Xenopus tropicalis: one gene and its partner. The protein of the gene in region 2 interacts with the protein of the main gene of each other region in a biochemical or structural test. Links are inferred from orthologs where the notes say so. Each region holds a gene or a part of one and is shown on either strand. Other genes may lie near its edges.

Region 1 (3,663 bases), on a different chromosome or scaffold from region 2:
TACAAAGGATGTACAAAGACTTCCCTGATCTAAGTCTTTGGCATATCCCAAGTCGATGATTTTGTGAACAGTCTACAAAAAGCACAAAATATTACAAATAGTTATTATTTATATATATTTTTTCACAAAGAACAAAGCTCAGCAGCTTTCACCTATACACAAAAACCTACCTTCCCATTACATTCTTGCAGCACTATGTTTTCTGGTTTGAGGTCTCTGTGTATGATCCTCTTCTCATGCAGATATTGTATTCCAGAACCTATGATAATAATAAACCTAAATCAGTTGATTCTCTGCAAGAATTGTTGTAGGCTAAAGAAACAGGATGAAGGATATACTTAAACAGGAGATGCACTGTTAAATGGATATTAAGCAGAGTTGAATACAACAAAAGTGGTAAGTTGCATTTTCTTATCACTTACCAGTATTTAACATATTTTTAAGGTTTTATTTTACCCTGTTTAAGTTACTGTGTGTGGGTCCTTTAGCCCAGTTACTAAGGCATTCAAACTGAACTGGAATACATTCTGCCCCCAGATCCCCCCCAAGTCGAAAACAAAAGAAAAGATCAAGTAAGAAACAATAACAGACGACAATATATTAGAGAGAACATTGGTTGCAAGATTGCCACAGGCGCTTGTGGGGGCACAAATGTTAATAACCCAAAAAGTAGTACAACAGGGCTTCAATTTTAACCAACATCCCCACTGTTGTAATCCCCAAAGCTATTGGCTGTACCGATCTATATCTCAGCCTGCCCTTAAAGGTTAGCTGCTGCAGTCTGCCTGGCATGTCCCAAGCTGGATTTTCTAATGAGAATTGTGTAAAAATAGCTTATATTGTAGGAGTAGAAGGCAGGAGGACTGTAACATTTAACATAATCGGTCCAAAGTCCATATATTTGTATATATCCAAAGAAAATGCCATATAAAACAAATAACAGTCAGGGTAGACAAATTAGACAAAACAATCCTATTGGGTTTATTTAATGTTTAAATAATTTTTTAAAATAGTGATCCATATTACAAAAAGACCCCTTATCCGGAACACCAGGTCCAAGCATTCTGGATAACAGGTCCCATACCTGTACTATTAGTTTACTTAGGAACTTCAAGTTGCTCAAACTAAAAGTGGCAGCTTATCTGTCCATGTATGGGTCCCTCTGATGGGCCCCTTCCATCACCCAGCTAGCTGTCGTCTGGCAGGTTTGAAAATCTCAATATAAAATTGTGCTTCAAGGTTTGAAAATCTCGTTGGATAAAAAGGTATCTTGTACCTGAGGGTAACTAAACTGCATGACTCCATATTGCTAACAAAAAATCCTACAGGGTTTATTTAATATGAAAGGGTGAAGACACACAGAGCTACTACTGTAGTAGCAGCTACTTGTCACGGCTACAAAAATAGACAATGCTCAATGATCATTTACTGATAATTGTCTTATCAGAGGCAATTCTCAGTATGGCAGGGTATTTTCTGGCGCTTAGTAGCCGTGACAAGTACCCCAGTGTGTTTATTCCCTAAATGTTTTTTTAGCAGACGTGAAATATGGATCCAAATTACAGAAAGATCCCTTAAGCATTCTGGGTAATAGCATCTATACCTGACTTATTCTACAGTGCTGCAGAATATGTTGATGCTTTATAAAGTTATATTAATAATAATAACATGAAATTTCAGAAATGTTTGCATCTTATCTCCCATATGTTATATGGTACTAACATTATACATACTAAATATGAATGCTAGGGGTCTCCTGAATAGTTAAATTACCAAAATGTATGGGATAACCATAGTATGTTGCATGCACTTCAGCTATCTATGGTGCATGTAGCAGACCTAAATTGAACATTTTGTACATACAATTTTATGTAGAAAAACTGTAAGATCAGAGATAGAAATGCCAGTGCCACTAGTCATGCTGGGTAAGGAAAGTGATTAGCACAAACAAGCAATCGACAGCAGTGTAGAGATCACAATAGTGCAAAATAATGGCTAAAAACAAAATAAGGTCAGAGAAATCAAATGTGATAGGAAGAAAAGACAACAGCAGAATTTGATGCCGTTGTTTTATTTGATTGGACATCACACATTTTAGAATACGTTGCTTTACTCACCTATGTCACTCATTAAATTTAGCACTTGACTTTCCTTCAAACCACAGCAGTTTTCTGGTTTATTTAGAAGCTGAAAAAGATACAATACTTAGGAACACTTACCGCATGTTAATTGTAGAAAATTCTATAGTGACACTAATTTTAACAACTAACATACAGCAAAGTGGGTTATGCCACATTCTACACCTGGTACAAATTCTAACATACAAGCCAATTGTTATGGGTTAAAATAGTAGTGACCTGCCAATAAATGCAGCTAATGCGTCCCATCTTGTATATATATTTCATTCAGTCTCTCATTACAACAACTCCCTGCACTAAAAGAAAATATAATTCTACTTTTCAGTATGAATTTATTGAAAATTTGTAATGCTTTAAAAGTTGTTTGTAAATGTAATTGCTATTGAAAGCAGCATTTGCTTTACTCCTAGTTTTTCTTAACAATGTTGCAAAGGTCAGTCTCCTCCAGCAAGAGAGGTCTGTCAGTCTGCTGCCTTGTGTTACATTGTTTCAAGAGTCAGAACCACCAAGACATTACCAGTAGGCAGAAGTGACATTACTCGGGAGGCAGATCACCCATGTCAGGGGAAAAAAATTACTTTTAAGTTCAGGAGGTGGGGGGAATACGAGCATGCACTCAGGTACCTGCGGACCACCCCAATATGCTGTAAATATATGTCTTAAAAACTGAACCAACAATGAAAAAAATGTAGCTCTTACATTTAGAATTAATATGGGCATCAGTATTGTAAGTGCTAGAGATAAATGACTATATTGTGACATGGCTCACCTTTCGCAAATCCCCTCCAGCACAGTATTCCATGGCTAGGTGAGGGACGTCATTAACAAGGAAATCCATCTCCGGTGGAACTTCACAAGCTTTCACAACATTTGGATGATTTAACCTAATTAGAAAGAAAGAGGTTTAATGGGATTCTGTCATGATTTTACATAACAAATAATTAATTCTACCATTTAATATTTTATTCTTGAACCAACAAATGTATTTTTTTGGCTGTAATATTGGTGTGTAGGCACCATCTCAGTGCATTGTGCCTGAGTCTGAGCTTTCAGAAGGAGCCAGCGCTACACATTAGAACTGCTTTCAGCTAACCTATTGTTTCTCCTACTCCCATGTAACTGGAGGAGTCTCAAGCCGGACTTGGATTTCTTACTATTGAGTGCTATTCATATATATATAACAGTAAAAATAGGAAACCTTCAAAGTTATAACTGCTGCATCACATAGACTGAATAGAAAGATAAGTAATAAAAAGTAACAAATAGCAATAAAATTGTAGCCTCACTAGCCATAGTTTTGGATGGCCAGGGTTTGTACTGAGGAGATCCTTTATATAACTATATATGTGACGATAATATAAATTCACAAACAATTCTGAATAATTGTTATTACGCTGCATTGAGAGAGCACCTTCTAAAATCAAACTGTGTCAAGCTCCCACATTGTACTTCTGCTCTCAGTCTCAGTGGGGAAATTAATGGGGTATACAGGGGGCCTTAAATTTACTAAATTACTACTGTAGGA
Region 2 (2,713 bases):
TGTGTGGAGTCTTGGCTGCAGCATAATAGAGATGGCATGTGCTAAACCTCCATGGAATGCAGAGAAGCACTCTAACCATCTTGCACTTATATTCAAGGTAATAAAATGCATATGGGAAATGTTAATAAGATGTAATGATAGGTTAATATCATACCTGGTGTTTTCTCCACTGTTGGTTTTACCTTTTGCATTTTTGGATGAAATATGCCTTGTGTGAGCATTTACAAGTGCCATTGTAATCAGTTTTTATAAATAAAGATAGCACGTCAGCCTTAAGCATGCCATACACTGCAAGATGCTTTTGTTTGAGGAAGCTGCCAAATGAGGGTATCTGAGCCCAATATGGCCACCCACACACTGGGCCAAATTGGGCTGTTGATCATATAGAGGGGCCTACTGACCCACAGAATAAAGACCACATCAACTCGACTATTCTTGCCTGGTAAATATTTGGCTGAATTCCAGCCACATATTGATCAGACAGGCCCATCTGTGGGCCTCATACATGGGTCAATAAGCTGTTGACTTAGTCTGGAAGGCCATACACTAAAAGATCAGCTTGTTTGGCATCCTCAACAAAGGAACAGATCTTTCACCGGTACGTCCACCTTGAGCAATATTGGTTTGCGGCATAAGGACCGCATTAACATCTGGATGATTATTGGCCAGATATCAGTTGGGTAGGCCTGTCTCTGTTCCTGTGGTGCAGTGGTATTATGGAAGGTGCTAGAATTGGTTAAGCTAGATTTTCAGACTGTACCCTGCCAACCCCAGCAGTGTGCTCAAGGTTTTATGATATTTTCCACTGATTTATTCAAACAATTGGAATTGTAATGGTAATCAACTGAAGGTTTAGCTGTGAGCTTTGTTGCTGACTGCTTGCTATAGGCTAAAAAACCTCAGCTGCATCCCTACCTTGGACTCTCCAGCAGCTATAAAAAGTAATGGTGCTTATTGTGGCTTTATCCTTATCTTGTTGAGAATGTATTTCCATAGTAAGCCAGGCCTGCCCCCTTTCCTGCTAGCTCATAGTTCATTTTTTTTTTTTTGCAGATTGCAAGTGCTACAACGGCCCCAACGATCCCACCACACCTCTCTCCAGGATTACGGGATGTAACCCTCCGATGTCTGGAGCTCCAGCCCCAAGATAGACCACCATCCCGAGAACTACTGAAGCACCCGGTCTTTCGAACAAAGTGGTAGAGAAATACGTGGCAGAGAACTTCCCGGTTGTTAGTGACTGAGAGGACAGGAAACTTATTGCTGTAGAACAATACTGTCTTCTAAGCCATAAGTATACTGCTGTGCAGATCCCCAGCCTGTGCGTGACATTCAGGATCTCTAAAGCTTGAGAGTATGGAGATTTAAATCTCTCTAACAAGATTTATATAAAATATATATATTACTATGTTTTATAAAAAAGTGCCTTTTTGGAAACCCGCTCTCCAGATTAGATAAGTGGTTGCATGGCCAGAAGTGGTCGCGGTTTTCCAAAATCTATACAAATTGAATTTTGTAGCCCCACAAAGAAAACTTGTGCAACTTTTTTATCCCACATGTGACATTGTGGCACACGCAGTATATTTGTAACAAAATAGTGTTCTTCGGGTGTCTATGAAGCTCTCCTCAAAGACTCTGTCTTTCATAGTGTCATGTGACAAAGACGGCCGAGGAACTGCCTTTTCTCTCCACGTGTGGGAAAACAGTACAAACGGCCATAATATTGCAATGTGTAAATACTGTCTACACTGTATTCTTCCACTGTCGTACCCCGTGGGATGATCAGCATCTTCACACCTGTATTCCTTTTCCTCATTTTAAAGTTAAATCATTTCATGTGTAATGAAAAGAGTATTTTTGTACTATATTATAGGACCACCACTTATGTACAGTAGGTGTCAGAGGTCTAAATCCACTACCATAAACTGATTATTTCAACTTTTATCCAGATTGGATTCTAGTTTGTTTCCAATAGGATTCCAGTATTTTTACTAAATGATGGCAACAAAAGTTTGTATTTAGTGACCATCAAACTGCCCCAGTATCTGCTACTTTTGCTATCTGCCTTGATCATCGCTGCAGCACTCTCTGGTATTGATCTCTGCAGGTTTATGCAGAATTTCAAAGAGATTTTCATGTGAGGTTTTGCTTTTTTTTTCCCCCAAAGACGCTCATTGGTGTTGGGGTAAATGGGGAGGGAAAGCCCTACATGGCAGCGCTTCAGGCAGAATACAGCTTCAGTGGATATTTAGGAGCATGAAAGCTCTTCCATGCCACTTTAAGCCATATTGGATGCAGACACTGTTCTATATTGCTCTTCAGTGGCTGCGGTCACTTTAGGTTTTACTTTGAATGAAAAGCACTTGTATTGTGAAGATCTCCACTGCATGTTCGACTTTTCCCAGTGGTATAACTATAGAGGGGGGCAGGCAAAGGCAGGAACAGGGGGCTTGCGAGGGTAGTTGTGGGTACCCTGTGATGCACCGGTAATTGACCCCTAATTTTGTCCAGGGGGAAGGGACCCAAAAAAAGCCTCAGAGGATTCCTTCCTGACTGCTCCCTTTAGAAATTATGAAATCAGAGCTCACCATAGAAAAACTCACCCACACTCTATTGATTCCTGTGGGATTTTTAGAAGTGTATTTATCAAATGGTGAACTTTAACTTTCCCCCTTTATAGATACGCTTTTAAAAATCCCTTAGGATGAAATTA

Evidence for each region.
Region 1: of the proteins of map3k1 (region 2) and chuk, one has a biochemical effect on the other in vitro, tested with the Homo sapiens proteins (3 studies listed by BioGRID). The link is inferred for Xenopus tropicalis from reciprocal best matches to the Homo sapiens genes MAP3K1 and CHUK.

Annotation. Positions count from the first base shown.
Region 1 is NC_030683.2:110,582,625-110,586,287, forward strand, and holds part of chuk (inhibitor of nuclear factor kappa-B kinase subunit alpha), read right to left. Parts: intron 3,023-3,663; coding exon 2,908-3,022; intron 2,188-2,907; coding exon 2,118-2,187; intron 260-2,117; coding exon 171-259; intron 73-170; coding exon 1-72.
Region 2 is NC_030677.2:190,914,061-190,916,773, reverse strand, and holds part of map3k1 (mitogen-activated protein kinase kinase kinase 1), read left to right. Parts: coding exon 1-97; intron 98-1,053; coding exon 1,054-1,203; 3' UTR 1,204-2,713. UniProt on the Homo sapiens protein: Component of a protein kinase signal transduction cascade. Activates the ERK and JNK kinase pathways by phosphorylation of MAP2K1 and MAP2K4. May phosphorylate the MAPK8/JNK1 kinase.